2 linked regions of the Ovis aries genome follow. The protein of the gene in region 1 binds, or shares a complex with, the protein of each later gene. Links are inferred from orthologs where the notes say so. Each region holds a gene or a part of one and is shown on either strand. Other genes may lie near its edges. The genes, in order: EPS15 and STON2.

The links.
Region 2: the proteins of EPS15 (region 1) and STON2 are in contact, whole or in part, in an NMR structure (PDB 2JXC), measured with the Homo sapiens proteins. The link is inferred for Ovis aries from reciprocal best matches to the Homo sapiens genes EPS15 and STON2. Residues at the interface, in NP_001972.1 of Homo sapiens: Leu139, Gly148, Lys152, Pro153, Val154, Leu155, Leu156, Asn157, Ser158, Lys159, Val162, Asp163, Leu165, Gly166, Arg167, Trp169, Glu170, His176, Gly178, Met189, Val192, Tyr193, Leu196, Glu197, Lys198; in NP_001353779.1 of Homo sapiens: Trp309, Arg310, Ala311, Thr312, Asn313, Pro314, Phe315, Glu318, Gln321, Asp322, Gln324, Pro325, Ser326, Ile328, Asn329, Pro330, Phe331, Phe334, Phe335, Glu337, Gln338, Glu339, Arg340.

What each region holds. Positions count from the first base shown.
Region 1 is NC_056054.1:25,789,931-25,799,301, reverse strand, and holds the end of EPS15 (epidermal growth factor receptor substrate 15), read left to right. Parts: intron 1-397; coding exon 398-593; intron 594-2,948; coding exon 2,949-3,133; intron 3,134-5,670; coding exon 5,671-5,817; 3' UTR 5,818-8,071; downstream 8,072-9,371. UniProt on the Homo sapiens protein: Involved in cell growth regulation. May be involved in the regulation of mitogenic signals and control of cell proliferation. Involved in the internalization of ligand-inducible receptors of the receptor tyrosine kinase (RTK) type, in particular EGFR.
Region 2 is NC_056060.1:90,898,653-90,908,866, reverse strand, and holds the start of STON2 (stonin-2), read left to right. Parts: upstream 1-5,005; 5' UTR 5,006-5,169; intron 5,170-10,214. UniProt on the Homo sapiens protein: Adapter protein involved in endocytic machinery. Involved in the synaptic vesicle recycling. May facilitate clathrin-coated vesicle uncoating.

The sequences.
Region 1 (9,371 bases):
TTAAGTGCATTGGAAAGTGTGGAATAAGTATTTTTTTCTGTATCATTTAGATCAGATATTCACTTGAGGAAAGATACATTAGTCCCTTTAAAATGGGCCTCAGTGGTTTTGTATTACCTGAATCTTGTCAGTCCTTTAACCCAGAGTTGGTTTGTTTTGGTATGATCTGTTGTGCTTAATAAGTAGTGGTGGTATAATCACTACTCATATAGAATAACTTAAAAATTTTTTTCAGTTTTGGTTCTGAATGTAAAAGTTGAAATGTTAGTGCTCTCAGAATTGAAATAAATAAAGCTGCATAAAATTGAAGATCACTCTTCCAAATGCAATATAACCATAAACAGTTTGGTTGGCATAATATATATAACCATGAGTAAATATTTCTTTTCAAACAAAGGTCAACAATGAAGATATTTCTTTCCAAACAAAGGTCAACAATGAAGATCCTTTTAGTTCAGCCACATCAAGCTCCATCAGCAGTGTGGCCATTACAAAAAATATGCTTGAGGAAACATCCGTCAAAAATGAAGATGTACCCCCAGCACTGCCACCAAAGATAGGAACTCCAACAAGACCCTGCCCACCACCACCTGGTATGAGAGTTGGTACCTTTCCTAAATCAACTGCTTTCTTTTTCTTTCCAAGAAGTTTGTGTGAGCCTTACCTGTAGACGTTATATAAAGGGCCTTAGCAGAACAAGTCAGAAAGCATGGCAGAAGCCTGCTGTTATCATCTGTTCTGACCTCAATGCAGAATTACAGACTTGTGCCTAAGAAGCCAACCTGTGTAACTGTCAGGAATTACCTTTCTGGCAAGAGCTAATCTATTTTTAAATCATTTCAGAGAGGCAGTAAATGAAATCTCTTGCTTTTTGAAAGCTAATGAGCTTCCATTTAATCAGAGTTTCCTGCACTGTGATATTTTAATAAATTTCTATAAGGGAAGGTTAATAATCCAGAGTCCCTTTCTTTTTCCTGCTAAGTGTGAAGTCTTCCTTAAGTCCTTCAGTATGAGAATATATGGCCACTTTGGTATCAGAATGGCCAATTCAGCATTTTGGTGTCAGAATTTTGAAAGAAAGTATTGTTTTTCTTGAAGGAAAATATTATTTACCTCAATAAGAGATTCCTTTATTTTAAAAAGGTGGTGTTTTGGTCGAGAAACAGATTCTTACTTTTTTGCTTTTGTTTTGTTTAGTACTGTACCAAAGAAAGGGGTTTTGTTCAATTTTAATTAATGAAAACAATAAAGTTTATGAGAAGTGGTAAAGGGCAATCCCCTGGGTAGTTGTAGTGCCGCTAGATTGTTTTTGAGAAGACACATCTGGTACATCATTGTTTTTACCTTATATCCTTGATAAATTTTCAGCCACAGTAGTTCTAGATTTTTATTCTTGCCTTTTTATAATAGCCTGCCTGTGGTATTTCTCGGGCAGATTTCTTTTTTCTTCTTTGATTTAAAGAATTGTGAATAAAATTATTAATACCCAACTACCTATTGAAAAATCAAGTGAACAAGCGATTTCTATCTTTTAGGGAAGACTAGCCTATATCTTTTAATTGTTCTAGGGTAAATTTGTCAGAATATGTTAAAAAACAAGTGACAGTTAATTTGCTTATTTAAGTTTTATACCTTTAAGAGGTCAATAGTGAGGTGATTTTTAAAATCCTCAATAAACTAATATACTAGTGCTGTAACTAAATCTAAGACTTCAATAAACTGAGTATATATCACTGTAGAAAAATCAAAGAAAGAAGAATGAGGACTTCCTGGTGGTCCAGGGGTTAAGACTTTGCCTTCCAATGCAGAGGGTACGAGTTCAGTCCCTGGTCGGGAAGCTAAGATCCCACATGTCGAGCCCAAAAAAAACCATAAAATAGAGGCAATATTGTAACAAATTCAGTAAAGACTTTATAAAAATGGTCCACATTTAAAAAAAAAAGGGGGGGGATGGTTGTTGAACTGGGATATTAAAGATCTAAGTTCTCATTCTGAATATCCTCTGATATCCTCTGTGATCTTGAGTGTATAGAGCTTCCTATGTCTGAGCCCCAGATCTCTGAGCTGTTAGATGGTGGCATTAGTTCTCATGCTGCCCTCCAAGGGTTGTTGGAAGGATCCTTTGAGATATGAGATGTGAAAACCTTTTGTAAGCTGTGACAGAAAGACTCTGTTGTTATGGTTGCCGTTACCAGATTAACACATCTTCAGGAATATATATTTAGATTTGAAGATATTTTAACACTTATTCTTATCCTTTCTTCAGCAAGTACTAAGTTTAAGTCTTGAAAATTAGAAAACTTGTTTGAAAATGGTGATGAATAACAGTATGCTATTGTTTGGTCAAAGATTAGTTTATCAGTAACCACAGAATTTAGGCCCTGGGCTTCAAAACATTCTCTCTATCCTTCAGTTTGAAATACTGTAGATGACAAGAAGTAGCTGGGCTTTACCAAAGTAGTTTTTAATTTCATGCTCCCAGGTGTTACATATAGATCCAGAGAAAAATCAGAAGAATATTAGCATTTTTCAGAGATCATTTGCCCTTACTGCCACTTGTGGAGAATTATGTATTAGGCAGAGGTTATCACAGCAGAGGCCGTTTTTGTCATTATTTGTCATTTTCCCCCTGTTTTATCCATTCTTGTCTCTCTCCTTGGGAGCGTGCTACTTTGGAGAAGAAGTTAACTCTGAGCAGAAAAGATTCCAGGTCTGCTGCTTCACCCTTGGCTGTTTTCCCACTTACCCGCATAAAACTGGAGTGTACTTAAGAGGTTGTGTGTGAAATTTTTGACGACAGACTGTTGGTTGTGGTCATTTAAGACCATATTAAGAATGTGTTTTAGGTTCCCCATCCCCACTTCTCTAATGCTCCCTGTGTTCCTGTTGTTGTGTGTTTGTGTTTGCCATACTTGCTGGTTGAGTTAATTGTAATGATTTTGATCCAGGGAAAAGACCCATCAACAAAATGGATTCTTCTGATCCCTTTAAACTGAATGATCCATTTCAGCCTTTCCCAGGCAATGATAGCCCCAAAGAAAAAGATCCTGATATGTTTTGCGATCCATTCACTTCTACTACTACCACTACCAATAAAGAGGCTGACCCAAGCAATTTTGCTAACTTCAGTGCTGTAAGTACTGTGAATGGGCTGTTTGGGGGAAAATCTTTCCATTTATAGTTTAAAGAGCTTTCAAAGATTATTTTTGAGTCTGCCAAATTTGCATTATTTCAGCTAAATTTACCAACATGTTAAAAATGATCTTTATTCTTCCCCCAACCAAGAAAACCTCTGTTTGATTCTGTCTGCTAGTTCTGAAATTATTGCATTGTTAAGATGATTTTAGTAGTCTTAGTTCTTGGGATATATACCAGGTGCTTTGCAAAACCTTGACAGTTATTATTTTGCAAATTGTTACAGACAGTGGGCCACTAGAGAGTCATTTGCTGTCTGCCCTCTGGATAAATAATGCCAATAATGAGTTTGTGTTATTTGTAACTGTGTATGTGTGTTTGTGTATAAAACCTTGAAAATTTCTGGAGACCAGTCAGCAATTACTGTATTATATAAGAAGATAGGACCAGAAATTCTTTGAATAGAAAATAAAACTCTGGTTTCATACAGAAATGTTCTTAAAATATAAATCAGTTTTATTAAATAAATATTTTTAAGAGCTAAACAATCTTTAATTATTTGGAAGACTCTAATTCACTAGCTTCCCATATCTACTCCACATTCTCCCAAAGCTTCCCTGATGGCTCAGTCAGGAAAGAATCTGCCTGCAGTGCTTGAGACCTAGATTCTATCCCTGGGTTGGGAAGATCTTCTGGAGAAGGAAAAGGTTATCCACTCCAGTATTCTAGCCTAGAGAAGTCTATGGACTGTATAGTCCATGAGGTCGCAAAGAGTTGGATATGACTGAGCGACTTTGATTCACTCACTCAGTTCACTAGCATTCCATACCTACTCTGCATTCTCCCAGAGCTGACTAGAGTAGGCCAATAAAGACAATAGAAGGGTGTGGTGTTAAGAGTATAGGCGGGTCTTATAAGATCATAGAAATGGGGCAACCAACTGGAAATATCACCCTGGTGGGGCATTAAGCAATGACGTGTATATCATCATCATGTAGATAAACGTAAATTTTTGTTTTAATTCTTAGAGTAACTAACTGTTTCATTTCCCAGGTTGCTTTTTTTTCTAGATAAAAATGACCTTCATTATCACTGTCTATTTTATAATAAAGCAGTTTTCCTCTACTTAACAACCTCAAGCCTTTGAGATGATTCTATAAATAAGAGATCTAGTGGCCAGCTGACTGACCACAGTCTGCCTAATGTCTCCCTCAGTGTAGCTTAGGGTCACTCTTCCGATCACTTTATTCCTGCAGCCATTTCTAGTTAGTAAAGCAGGTAGGCAGAATTAGACTAGGCTATTTAGCTTTTGAATCTGTACTCTTAAGTTTCAATGGCTTCTTCCAAATGTGAAGAGGCAGAGCAGGAATCAATATTTTAAATATTGGAAAACAGAAGGTGTCAGAATTATACTGACTCTTGTTAGATGGAATTTGAGTTGTTTCAAGGAGAGAACCCAGAATTGCTCTTCTTACTATAATGCTCTTAGTACAAAATAACCTTCTGGCAGTTTGTGGCACTTAATATCTTAAATATGATTTCAATAAGTCAAAACCTGGTTGGAATGAGTCTTGAACAAAAGCAATTTGCTTTTTTCATTTTCCAGAATCTCAGTATAGTATAATATTAAGCATCTAATAATAAAAATGTCTTTTTAAATGAAAGATTTGTTAAACATTAAAAGTTTCAAAGATCTTATAATTCCCTAGAAAGAAAGCTACCATTTTCAAAAAAGCCTGACAGTTTCTTTCTTTTCATCCTGTTTGTTATGGTATTCATCCTATTATGGTGTTCTTCTATATGACAGGACTTGAAACCAAGTAGAATGTTTTTATTTAGTATCTGCCACGGTTGCTATTTGGGGTGGATACATATATTTCCTTGACTTATTAATTACCAGCATTAAGGTCTTATTTAGAATGGGTCAAAAAGTTCTCAATACCTTCTAAAATCATTATAATGCATTAAAAAAATTGATTAGGTCCACATCTTGCTTGGTATATACCCAGGACTCTTGTTTTATGTATAACAAAATTTATGTATAGTATATTCTTTGCTTTATAATTTTCCTGTACCTGAAGGGCTAGAATAAGATAGGAAATTGCCAGTGGGATTAAGTTAAAAATGATGTATCATGTGAGGATGCTCACTGAAGTTGAAGTAGTAAATGTTTTACATTAGATAAATATGCTAGTTCTCTCCTGTTTTTAAATCTGTTCCACCTTAAGAATAACCACTTTTTACAAATGATGTTTTAATGTTCAGTTTTATAGACTCTCTATCTGTAGACTGCATTGCTTTTAAGATTAAATCATATTTTGATTTAATTTTTAAGTTTAAATTTAAAGTTTTAAGTTTAAACTAATTAAACTTGTTTTTGGGGGGAAAAAAAAAATCAAGACTTTTTCCAGAGCCCTTCAGGTGAAACACATAGTTCAATTTCCTTTTGTGAAAGCTGTTTTTCCTTCTTTTCTTTGTACTTGTTTTACTCATGAATGTATTCATTTGTTTGTTCATTTATCTTTTAAATGGCAGTATCCCTCTGAGGAAGATATGATTGAGTGGGCCAAGAGAGAAAGTGAGAGAGAGGAAGAGCAGAGACTTGCCCGACTGAATCAGCAAGAGCAAGAAGACTTAGAACTGGCTATTGCACTCAGCAAATCTGAAATATCAGAAGCATGAAGAAATCTCCTGTTCTTCGTCAACCACACAACACTCTCCTTCTTGAATACTGAAGCTATTTACAATGTGTATCAAACCTACCTGTGAGCATGGGAATACAAAAGGTTTGAGATTCCTGTAAATGTGACAAAAGTTTTGGCTTTTTAAACTCCATTTCAGATTTGTCTTTTTTTTCCCCCTGTGCAAGTGGTAACCCAGATGACTTCACCTAGGCCCCTGCTCTGGTGTGCATTTAGTGTGAGCTGTTGCCTGCCTGTGCCTCTCTTACTTGTAAAGCTAGAGCACCCAAGTTTCTGCCTTCTGGAATATAGAGAAATAGTTTCACCCCTATGCTACCCTTATTCTGTAGTTACTCTAATGATAGCCAGTGGGGTTCTTAAAGTTGGCAGTATTCTCCCCTAATTTAAATGGTTGAAAGAGGGGAAGGGAAAGAACAGCCTATTTCTTTTATGATAGAGCAAATTGGCCAGTTTAAAGTACATGTTTGTATTTCCTTTTAATCAAAATACTGTTCAATTTGTTTTTTATAGACAAGAAAAAATATTTTGCATACATTGACTCCCACTGTTGAAAACAGGATGTTTTAGATGGAACCATTAGAGCTTCAGACTCAATCTTTTCCTAAATAAAAATATTAAAGCCTCATGTCTGAAATAAATTAAAAAAATTTTTTTCTGGATTTAAAGAATTTTAGATAAACAGATACCTCTCCATGATTTTAAGTACTTAGAGAATGAAGAAAAATTTTCACCTAAAATATACTCATCAATATAAGATAAGCAAAAATCTTAACCTGGCAGCCATTCTGCCATTGCCATGGCACTGTCCTCTTTAGTTCATGGTAGGTTTATTTTTTTACTTTTGTAGAAGAAACTTTAGTAAGCTAGAACTGGAAGGTACTTTAACTTTTTGTATATATATTTTTTTGTTTTCTTTAATGAAGGCTCAATTACTTGAAATGTAAAAACATTCTCTGAATACAGATGAAAAAAGTGACATGTATTAAATCATTATTGCTTTGTGTCCATCTTTGTGGATTAAAATAGTCTATTCTTTTTGTGTTTTTCACCTACAAAATTGGCAAGCTAGCAAAACTTTTTTTTTGTTTTTTTAAATTGGGAGAGAGGAGACCTGCCCAGTTATCAGATCTCTTTATGTGTTAAAAGCCTATCTTCTGCAAAACTGACTTAGCAGACAAGCTGAATTTAAAATGGACTGTGAAGTAGGCTGTAAATTGTAGAGTAATCTAAATTTTTTTAACATCAGTTACTGACTTAAATAATGTGTTGAAAACCAAGATAAAGGAAAATGCACCTAAAGAGTAATTAAATGTGTCTGTGGTCACCAAGTCAAGGTGGTATTGATCTGTGTTAATCAGAGTAACTTATTGCCTAGCTTATGAATAAATTCCAGAATATCCAATTATTTCATTTTGAAATGGTGCTTTTTTTCTCTCCACACACAATTGGATTACTGCAGTTCAAAATGAATTTAAACTACTTTCTTGCATTGCTTTTTTCTACTTTTATAAATTAAAGCATTTCAGCATGAAAGTCATACAGACAAAGCAAGGGCTGAATCATAATCACCGGGCTTTAATATTGATAAACTAATCCATTTATAAGGATATACTCCAAAAGTTGATTGAGAAGGTAGTGTTGGGAGTTGTAAATGGTAGTGGGTTTTGGGTTTTTTTTCTTCCCCTTCCACTTTAGGAAAAAGGTAAGTTGACTTGAACAACCTTCTTTTGCACTGGGAAAATGAGCAGATGTTTGAAATGGTTTTAAAATATTTTTTTTTAATTAAAAGAACACTCTGGAAAGTACTAAATATCTGTAACTTATAAACACCAACTTTCAGTGTACCTTAATCTTATGTGTGTTTAACTGGATTGCATAGATTCTTATCTTTTGTTAAAATATGTATACTCAGTGGACCAATATGATATTAAAGTATGTATATATTATATAAATATATATATATATCTAAACCTCCATGCTCACTTGAGTAGGATGAATGTCTTAGAGTCATTTATGATCATATTTTATGTTGTTGACTCTGGCTCCAGTGCCTGTGATGGAAAAGGACAGATGAGTATTCCTGAGAGCTAAGTAGCACTTATTACAAGGTTTTAACCATCTTCTACCTACTTGTTCAGATTTATTTGAGTTCTTTATAGAATTTTCTCTTATGTTTCAAACTTCTAAACTGTAGCCTGTAATTATGAGAACAATAAACTTTAAGTAATAATAAACCGTAGTCTCCATACATCCTATCTGACATGGAGTTTTGCGTGATTCTGTGTTATGTTCTTGCTGTGTCCATGGAAGGGTAGACATGCAATCAGCACAGATGAATTATGTGTAAAGTGCTTGAGACACAGTGCCTGGTATAGAATACCCAATGAATGTTAACTTGTTTTTAGTTGACACCTATTTTGTGAAAGAAAGATAGGAAATGTATGCATATGAGGATTTGTGACTCTTGGAAGGCACTGTGGTGTCAAAAATTCATGCAACCCTGGTCTGCCACTTTTAGGAAAGAAGACTTTGACAAAGATATTTAGCCTCCCTTAGCTTTAGCCACCTGATGCAAAGAACTGACTCATTTGAAAAGACCCTGATGCTGGGAAAGACTGAAGGCTGGAGGAGAAGGGGACGACAGAGGATGAGATGGTTGGATGGCATCACTGACTCAATGGACATGAGTTTGAGTAGACTCCGAGAGTTAGTGATGGACAGGGAGGCCTGGTGTGCTGCACTCCATGGGGTCGCAAAAGAGTTGGACTTGACTGAACTGAACTGAGCCTCATTTTCCTCTTTTAGTGAGCATCATAATACCCAGCTCACAGGATTGTTCTGATTGATTTGAGTTTGACAGCTTTTTAATATTATTTTAATTAAACAAATTCCGCCATGTTCTTATTAATAGAATAAGTACTGGCCATTGAACGCACTACAGCGAGCACTTTATGAGTGTGTGTGTTTAGTCACTCAGTTGTGTCCTGCTTGTTGCAGCCCCATGGACTATATAGCCTACCAGGCTCCTCTGTCCATGTTGTTTAATCTTCACAACGGCCCTAAATAGGAATGTTATTCACATCTGTGTTTTTTCAGTATTTATTTATTTACTTGGCTTCACTGGGTCTTAGTTGTGGCATGTTGGATCTTCAGATCTTTGTTGTGGCAGGCAGGATCTTTTAGTTGGGCATGTGGGATCTAATTCGCTGACCAGGGATCAGGTCTGGGCCCTCTGCATTGGGAGCATGGAGTTTAAGCCACTGAACCACCAGGGATGTCCTCAGCATCTATTTTAAAAATAGGAAAAATGAGGCTCAAAAAAGTTACAATAATGTGATTCAGATAATACAGCTAATGAGTAGATGAGCCAGGAATTGAACTTTGGCCTCTCTGATTCTAAAACATGACACTCTTTCCAGTTTACTGTGCTTTGTCTCATTTTGTATGAAAAAAACTGCCTATAGGAAACTTTAGGAACAGAGCATGATAAATAACACCAGATAACATGTTGAGCTTCAGGCAGAATCCTTCGTG
Region 2 (10,214 bases), on another chromosome or scaffold:
ATGACCACTGGCAAAACCATAGCCTTGACTAGAAGGACCTTTGTTGGCAAAGTAATGTCTCTGCTTTGGAATATGCTATCTAGGTTGGTCATAACTTTCCTTCCAAGGAGTAAGCGTCTTTTAATTTCATGGCTGCAATCACCATTTGCAATGATTTTGGAGCCATTACATTCTATTAATTTCAAAGTCAATAAAAGTTCACAGAAAGGAAAGAGCTACATGATTTGGAAGGTGTGCTGAAGGAATTAAGGAAAGGCTTGAGTGGGAAACTGGAAATCTAAATAAAGATTCTTCAGCATCACTTCAGCATCTTAGTAGCAAGATTTCCCACTTGGAAGAGTATTGTATGTGTGAGCAGGAGATGCTGGAGGAAAGAAGGGAAGCAACCAGATCCCGGTAGAGGATTTCTCTTATCTTTTCTTTTTCTCAGCCTTTTTGAGGCCAGCACTTAGAATGTGGCTGACATTGTCTACAGACCTTGCTCTCCCCAGAATTCTTCATGGCGCTTGGTCCATTAATACTTGTGGAATGGAAGCATCTTGCATAAAGACAAAACTAAACACTGTGTTATTGATAGAAGTTCACTAAGAGTTCACAGAAGGGAGGAGATCAGGAGGAGTGAGATTGTATTGAGGGATTTCTCCTGGATACAGGGTTGAGCTAGGCTTTGGGACAGAAGGACATAGACTCTTCCATTCCCATGCCCTGAAGTATCATACCAAACTGCCGGTGAAGATGGCTCTAGTCCTCTAAACCTGCAAAAGCTACCCTGCCAGGGAAGTAGCCACTAACCACACATAGCTATTTAAATACAATTGAAAATTCAGTTCTTCAGTTGCACTAACCACATTGCAAGTATCCAATAGCGACATATGCCCAGTGGCTTTCATAATAAATAGCTCAGATGGAGAACATGTCCGTTACTATAGACTGTTCAGTTGGACAATGCAGATCTAAAAAGATGTGTTGTTGAAAGCTGCAACACGACAGGAAGACAATCTGACTTTTTCATAGGCTTTTCTGTTTCTCTACACTTTTATACTTTTAGCTACTACACTTTAGGATTTAACTGACATTGCCTTCCCTGACAGTTTCTGCACTCTCGGAATGCATGCTGTGGACATGAAAAAAAAGATTCAGTGATTTTTAATACAGCCACAAAGTTGTGCAACCATAATCATCATCTAATTCTAGAACATGTTCGTCACCACAAAAGGGAACCCCAGATCCATTAAGCAAGTCACTTACCATTTCTCTTTCCCCAAGACCCTTGCTGACACTAATCTGCTTTGTGTCTCCATAAATCTGCCCATTTTGAAACGTCATCTAAAGGGTATCATACAGTATAAGGCCCTTTGGGCCTCTGGCTTCTTTCACTTAGCATAGTGTTTTCAGGCTTCATCCAAATTGTGGCATGTATCCGTATCCACTCCTTTCTTTAGCTGTATAGTATACTATCATATGGATGCACCTCATTTTGTTTATCTATTCACCAGTTGATAAGTGTTGGGTGCTTGCATTTATCCGCTATGATGAACAATGCTTCTGTGAACATCAGTGTACACATTTTTGCATGCACATATGTTTTAAATTCTCTTGAATATATACTTTAGAAGCAAAATTACTGGGTGATAAGGTAACTCTATGTTTAATTCTTTCAGGAACTGCCAAAGTGTTTTCTGAATCAGCTGCAGCATTTTATTTTGCATAAATTTAAGAGAGAACTATTATTTTCTTTACTTGATAGTGCTTGACATACAGAAACTACTTGCTCACTATCAGGTTAGGTGGGTGATCACTTTGACCCACACCAGTCTGGACCTGGAGGATGCCCTGCTGACCAGGATAAGGGTGTGGCCCCAGTCTCTTTAATGCCACCTTGTTACCCTGTTAAGGACTTTAGTCAATCAGTTCCTGTTTACTGAATACCTATTACCTCCCACTGGCTGACAGCCATGTAAACTAGAATGCTGTCATGAAGATATAACACAGGTGAGGGGATCCTACCTTTGCCTGGGAGAGCTAATGATGGCCTTATGGAGGAAGAGCTGTTTTAGTTGTCTTGAGCGCCAAGTAGCCAGGGAAGAAATCCCACACAAGAAGCAGAACCAAGCAAAGCATTTTGCTAGAGGAGCCAGGGATGAGAGATGGATACACAAAGAGTTCCTGCCAAAGGAAGGTTTCACAGTGAATGTGATGGAATCCAGATTCTTTTTTAAAAAATATTTATTTATAAACTCTTAGTTGCAGCATGTAGGATCTAGTTCCTGACCAGGGGTTGAACTCAAGCCCCCTGCCTTGGGAGCCAGGAGTCTTAGCCACTGGACCACCACGGAGGTCCCAGGAAATCAGAATCTTCCACGTATCCTTCCAGGGGGCTGAGTTTAGTGTGATGAGACTAAGGTTGATCAGTTTAAGAAATCATCTGGGGTTAGCCTAGTTCTTTGGCTGAAGGAGCCTCTTTTCTTCGGAGTGACTGCATGATCAATCCAAATGGAATTTCTGCTTTACCAAAGCCACACCCATGGTGCTTGGGAGGGATGCTGGTGAAAGAGACTTCCTCATACAGCCTGTTGTACCCTCATTTTTTATCAGGTAAGGCTTCACTATACCAATACATCTTTTCAGTATGAAGTTAATTGATTGCTTATCCATTAATGTAAACTGGAGAAAACTGAGCTCATTTTCTCCAAGGGTCTTGAGCTCTTCAAGGTAAGTGTGTTTCAGCTCACTTCCTGATGGCTCAGATGGTAAAGAAACTGCCTGCAATGCAGGAGATCCGGGTTTGATCCCTGGAACAGGAAGATCCCCTGGAGAAAGAAATGGCAACCCACTCCAGTATTCTTACCTGGAGAATCCCATGGACAGAGGAGCCTGGCGGGCTGCAGTTCATGGGGTAACAAAGTATCAGACACCACACTTTGGAAGTAATACTTAATCCTTAGGGCAAAAATCAGGCTCTCAGAATGGGTCAAGCTGGCTTTCACCAGAGTCTTTTAACTTTTCTATTAAACTAAATTTCTCTCCCAAGGGTTCTGTCAACACAGGAGAAAAGAACTAGGGGGAAATACCTGTAGGAAAATGGTTATATACTTGCTGTCAAGAAGACATTACTGCAACCAAAGTCAAAGGTAAAATAGAAACTGTGCTATTTGTTTATACTCATTGTCTAGCTGGGTGTTTGGGGATGGGGTGGGGTCCTTTGATGAGTGGTAGAACAAAGTTCTGGGAGCACCCTGATTTACAGTGGTTGTTTTATTCTTTGGAAAGATTTGTTGCAGGTGTGAGAGAATGTTGGGAGGACTGAGACTGTAAAATGGGAGGAGAGATGAAGATGCGGGCAGGTTTAACCCCTGACAGTTGCTCTCCGTTCTGACCTGTGCCTCTCCATCGCAGTGCAGGGCGACTGTCTTCCAGATGAAAATCTCTCGCACTCAGAACTGATGTCTCTTGTCCACAAGGAACCTGTGTGCATACTTATGACAGCTGTTATATGCATTTCTGAATTAATATATGCAAAGTACTTGGAAACCTGACTGGCGAATACTATGCATCATGGAAACGTTAGGGTTGTTGTTTTTATTAATCAGACTCATCTCCGTAGCTAGGTAAAGATTCCTTGTTGAGGAAGGCCTCGCTGTCCTTCTTGTCCTTAGTAATCTCTTAACGTGATTAGGACCCTGGACAAGTCGCTTACCCTTTGCAAGCTCCACAAAGATTGTGTGTCAAGTACGATCTGAGTCTAGAAACACAATTTGGTGCCCACTATTTATGAGCTACTGCCCTGCGTCCTATGCCTATATATATATATATATATATATATATATATATATCAGTTCAGTCGCTCAGTCGTGTCCAACTCTTAGCGACCCCATGGACTGCAGCACGCCAGGTATCCCTGTCCATCTCCAACTTCCGAAGTTTACTCAAACTCATGTCCATCACTGCGGTGATGCCATCCAACCATTTCCTCCTCTGTCATCCCCTTCTCCTCCCGCCTTCAATCTTTCCCAGCATCAGGGTCTTTTCCAATGAGTCAGGTGGCCCATAGGATTAATAGCTATAATTCTATAACTTATATATATGTATATATATATATATATATAGAGAGAGAGAGAGAGAGAGAGAGAGAGAGAGTATGCCTATATATATAGTCAAACCAACCTAGACAGCATATTAAAAAGCAGAGACATTACTTTGCCAACAAAGGTCCATCTAATCGAGGCTATGGTTTTTCCAGTGGTCATGTATGGTTGTGAGAGTTGGACTGTGAAGAAAGCTGAGCGCCGAAGAATTGATGCTTTTGAACTGTGGTGTTGGAGAAGACTCTTGGGAGTTCCTTGGACTGCAAGGAGATCCAACCAGTCCATCCTAAAGGAAATCAGTCCTGAATATTCATTGCAAGGACTGATGCTGAGGCTGAAACTCATTGGAAAAGACCCTGATGCTGGGAAAGATTGAAGGTAGGAGGAGAAGGGGACGACAGAGGATGAGATGGTTGGATGGCATCACCGACTCAATGGACATGAGTTTGAGTAAACTCTGGGAGTTGGCGATGGACAGGGAAGCCCGGCGTGCTACAGTCCAAGGGGTCACAGAGTCAGACACGACTGAGCGACTGAACTGAACTGAGAGTAAAAGCGTTAAATGAATGAGGAGTCAAAACCTCATATAAGAGTGAGACGGGGAACAGCAGTCTGCACCGTGCAGCCTCGACACGGGCTGTGGGACAGCCTCCTGGGCGGTCCCCAGACCCTGCACCCCCGGGCCGCACGCCTGAGCTGCACTGACCGCGCGGCAGGGCCCGGGTTGCAGCGTCTGGCTGTGAGCTCCGAGCTCCGGGTGCAGAAAGGACACCGCGGGGCTGCGGCGCGGGGGGTCGGGGTAGGGGCGGGTCCGCGCCGCGTCGGACCCGCCCACCGCCCGGCAGACCAATCAGCGCGCGGCTCTGGCTCGCTCCTCGGCCAATCCGTAGCGGCGGGAGCGGCGCCCAGCGCCGCTGGGCGCAGAGCGAGCTCGGACTGGGGAGCCTGAGGCCGGGCCGCCCCGGAGCGAGCGCGGCAGGGAGGAGCGCGCGGCGGGACGAGGGCACCCCGGGGCCGGCGCCACTCCCGCTGAGCCGCGGCCACCTTCCGGCGGACCCTCAGGACTCTGCGCGCCGCGCCGCAGGTAGCTGCTCCCCGAGCTGGGAGGCCGATCGCGCTCCGGGCTCCCGCGGGTGGAGCGGGCGGGGGGGCGGGCCGGCCGCGAGGTCGTAGCGCTGCGGGAGCTGCCCGAGCCCCTGTGGAGCCCCCCGAAGCTGCCTCGGCTGGAATGCCCCGGGGAGACGCGCTTCCCCCAGCCGCGGGCGTCCAGCGGTGAGAGCGAGCGAGGGGAGTCCGCTAAGGTGGGCAGGGGTGCAGAGTCGGGGGACAAGACGTGACCCCTGGACACCCTGCCTCGCACACAGGCGCTGTCTGCCCGTGCGTGTCCGCCCCGAGATCTGGGTCCCCGGGACGTCTTCTTGGGGCCCTAGTGAGGGAGGCGACAACAGGTGTCCTTGCGGACTGTGCTTTTCTCCACCGTCCACCCCTCACCCCAACCCTCCCCAAAACTGCTTTGGCGTTCTGCGCCCCACTTTCGGGGTATCCGGATACAGGGACCCCAGCCTGGCCTCTCAGGCACGATGCCCGCTGGACAGCGCCCAGAGGCGGCCTGGACCCGGCCTTTGGATGGAGTTTCCTCCTCTCGTTGCCAAGCGATTTGCCTGACACCCGCCCCTCTCGCTGAGATGAAGAGAGTTGATGTGGTTTGTGTGTGTGTGTTGCAGCCTGTACTAAAAGGAGCTGCCCCAGGGCTGTGAGTGAATCATTAACTGGTTTCTGTACAGCTAGTGGCCTCCGTCTCTTTCTCCGAGGCAGGTCCTTCGTGGTCTCCTGCGCTTCACTCTTCTAGACTGTAAAGTCAAAACACTGCCTTTACCTGCCCGATGGCGTGGCTTTGCGGAGTAAATGAGCCAAGCTGGAAAACACTGAGGCCAGCGCTGAAGTGTTCCATAAAGGCTGGCTTAGTGTTCATTATACGGAGCGGATGGCCTTTTTAAAGAGTAAATCAGACTTGTCCAAACTGGCCCAGTGACTCTTTGGAGTTCTGAACAGCTTTTTACACTTGAAGGGGAAAAATAATCTTACTGATGGTATCATTTAAAGGTACTATATCCTTTGAGGGATTAAAAAAAAGAAAAACAAGTCTGCTTCATTGGAATGGTGAGAGATAAATAGATTCCAACTAGTAACTGAGAAAACTTTGTAACCCTTGAAAAAAATGTGTATGAATGTTATATCATGGTACTGTGTTGCCTCATTACTATGGCTGATTTAAGGGGGAAACTTTGAGCATTGTTATACTCCCTACTCCTCCCTTAAAACAAGTGAATTTTAAAAGAGAGAGAAGAGAATAGCAAACAAAAGCCCAACCACACAACAAAATGCCAACAGCTCACAGAAGCCTAAAATTACAGTTCCCACTTGAGGTTTTTTTTTTTTTTCAGTTTCTGACCTCGGTGGTCTGCTTCGGTTCTTTGCCACTGTGTCACTTTCCTTGTTTTCTTTGAAGAGTCAAATGTTTCACTCCTTGAATTTGTCTTTTTAAAAGCTAAAATATCAATGTATATCAGACTCGCTTGGGTTTCTGAGCCCTCTGCTACTTGTTTCCTACCCCCCGACAAACCCCAGCGGACCTTCCCAGAGATTCTCTAGGGCAGGGGTCCCCAGCCTCTAGAATCTAAAGCCTGATGATCTGAGGAGCTGATGAAATAATAATAGAAACAAAGCGTGTAGTAAATGCGCTTGAATCATCCCAAAACCCCACCCCTAACTTTGGTCTGTGGAGTAATTGTCTTCCATGAAACCCGTCACTGGTGCCAAAAAGGTTGGGGAGGGCAGCTCTAGAGTAATGTTAGTGGGAACCTGCCTGTCTTTCTCAGAACATTACCCCCACAACCTGAGAGCTGGGGAGAGGACGCAGGTAAAGTGCCCCAGTGCTCCTAGGGTCTCCGGCACATTTACCAGGAGCTTTAGAATAAATACATCCACCCAGAGAACGTGACTCTCATCTGAGAGGGTAAGGAGCCGACTTCCAGAAGTAAATCTTACAATGTTAGTGAAATCGCTCAGTCATGTCTGACTCCTTGCGACCCCATGGACTGTAGCCCACCAGGCTCCTCCGTCCATGGGATTTTCCAGGCAAGAATACTGGAGTGGGTTGCCATTTCCTTCTCCAGGGGCTCTTCCTGACTCAGGAATCGAACCTGGGTCTCCTGCATTGTAGGCAGACGCTTTACTGTCTGAGCCACCAGGGAAGTCAGATGTTTCCAATGTCAGATTAATTCACCAGCCCTTTCAGTTGTTGGTGAGAAGACCGTCCCTCTACACCTGAGTGGGGGGATTTGAAAGCTGTGCTGGAGGAGACACAGAGAGGCACGTGGGGCAGGGGGCAGTTTGCCGAGTTCAGAGCCACACCCGCCCCTGACAGCTGGGAAACTTGGAGAAGTTGCTTGAAGTTTTCTGAGCCAAAGTCTCTCTCACATTACAAAATGAGGGCTCAAAAAAAACCTTTTTTTTTTTTTTTTTTTTTAAGAGGAATCGTTCTAAGGATGGTGCTAATGAATAGAAACCCCTAGTGCCATTCCAGGGATGTGGTTATAGATCGGTAGCAGACAGAGGAGGTTCACAAGGTAAGAATGATGAACTGTACCTGGGAAAGAATTTTTAAAAAGAGAGAGACTTTGTTGAGGGGATACACCTGAGCTGAGTGTAGGCTAACAGGCAATTCTCTTGTGCAGACAGAATTGAGCTGGGATTGGGAGTAAGAGTAGGGCAGAGGGGAGGATTCCAGAAAGAGAGAGTACAGGATATCAGAAGTGCTATAATAGTCATCTTAGGAAAAATGAGCAAATACCTTCTCCCACCCGCTCCGTCCCAATCTCAGTGGCTTGCTACCACCACCCATGTTATTTCTCACCCATGTTGCATGTCCAAGGCAGGTCATTCATGGTTCTGCTCCTCATGTGTCTCCATTTTGGGGCCCATTAAGGCTTAAGAATCCTGGAGAAGAGAAAGGCTACCCTCTCCAGTATTCTGGCCTGGAGAATTCCGTGGACTGTACAGTCCATGGGGTCGCAAAGAGTCGGACAAGACTGGGTGACTTTCACTTTAAAGGCTGAAGAAACAGCCTCTCTCTGGTACATACTAATCTTGTTTATGGGAGAAGGGAAAAAGAACGTGAGTGAGCAAAACAACTATGGCCCTGAGAGGTCTGCTGAGAAGGAGTGGGCTTCACTTTAGCTCTCACGCTGTTGGCCAAGGTAAGCCACATGGCCAAAGCTCATGCTGGTGGTGTGGGCACATGGAACCTCTTGCAAAGGAGGCAGAGATGATTAGGAGGGAAAGCGTAGGAGACAAGGCCAGGGAGGCGTCCCAGAGGCAGATGATACAGGGCTATGTGCCAGGAGCCTGGGACTTTACCCTATAGGCAGGGAGCTGCCATTGGAGGCTTTTTTTCAGTTGACCTATATAGTAGTAGTAGTGTTAGGCGCTCAGTCCTGTCCAACTCTTTGTGACCCCATGGACTGTAGCCTGCCAGGCTCCTCTGTCCATGGAATTCTCCAGACAAGAATACTGGAGTGGGTTGCCATTCCCTTCTCCAGGGCATCTTCCTGACCCCAGGGATCAAACCCTGATCTCCCGCATTACAAGCAGATTCTTTACCATCTGAGCCACCAGGGAAGCCCAGTTGACATATGGTTGATTTAGAAGGTTGTGTTACTCGAGAGGGTTTTAAGGTGGTTTGAGATGATCACATTTTCAGGGTGAGTGCATCTCTAGTAGCAATGTGGGGAGATTGAAGCAGTTGAGATCTCAGATCTCTCCCTCTCACTGTCTGTCACATGACTTGAGAGTCCACTCCTAAAAGTGGCTCATTCAGGTGGCCTGTCTTCACCGGTGGTTTAGTTGCTAAGTCGTGTCTGACTCTTAAGACCCCAGGACTGTAGCCTGGCAGGCTCCTCTGTCCATGGAATTCTCCAGGCAAGAATACTGGAGAGGGTTGCCGTTTCCTTCTCCAGGGGATCTTCCTGACCCAGGAATCAAACCCAGGTCTCCTGCATTGTGGGCAGATTCTTTACCGACTGAGCTACAAGGGAAGCCCACAGGTCTTCTAAAATGGGTGTCTCTCACACATTAAAGTCCTTATTTCATAATTATCATCCAAAGCAACTGTTCTCAAAGTTTAGGGTGCATTATGGAATCACCTAGAAGGCTTGAAACAGAGAAGGCAATGGCACCCCACTCCAGTACTCTTGCCTGGAAAATCCATGGACAGAGGAGCCTAGTAGGCTACAATCTATGGGGCTGCTAAGAGTCAGGCACTTCAGATTGAGCAACACTTTCACTTTTCACTTTCATGCATTGGAGAAGGAAATGGCAACCCACTCCAGTGTTCTTGCCTGGAGAATCCCAGGGGCGGGGAAGTCTGGTGGGCTGCCGTCTATGGAGTTGCACAGAGTCAGACACAACTGAAGCGACTTAGCAGCAGCAGCAGCAGAAGGCTTGAAGAAATAGATTTCTGGGCCCCCATGCCAGAGTCTCTGAACCAGCAGAGTGGGGTGAGCCTGGGAACGAGCATTTCAGAGAGGTGCTCAGGTGATAATGATGCTGGCCCAGACACCACACTCTGAAAGTCACTGAATTACAGGGAAGAATTACGACAGAGTTGAGGGGAAAGACCTGAATGGAAGGGCCTAGTGGAAGGAGGAGAAAATCTGGAAGGTCCCAAGATAATCCATGTGGCAGTTTTGCTGGAGGCCAGCTTTGACCTGTAAGAGGGGCTGAGTCTCTGGGTTACACTGAACTGCAGGCACAGTGCTCACAGTCAGGAGATGAGAACAGCTCCGATTCGGAGCAGCAAGAAATGTCCCGCCCTGCCTTTGTCATTCTGCCCCGACGCCCTGTCCAGTCCATGAGTCTGTCAACACAGTTCCAATCCTGACCCGTCACACTTCTTGTCATCCCGGTTTTGATTTCTTCCAGAGCTGGGTTTGCTCACTGGGTGGACACTTGGCTAAATTTTAAAATAGTCGAAAAAATTACTCGTTTCCCTTGCGGGTCTTCATGAATAAACATCTGTACCATATGATCATGCAAATTGTGATCACCGCCCCCCAGATAAATAACCCC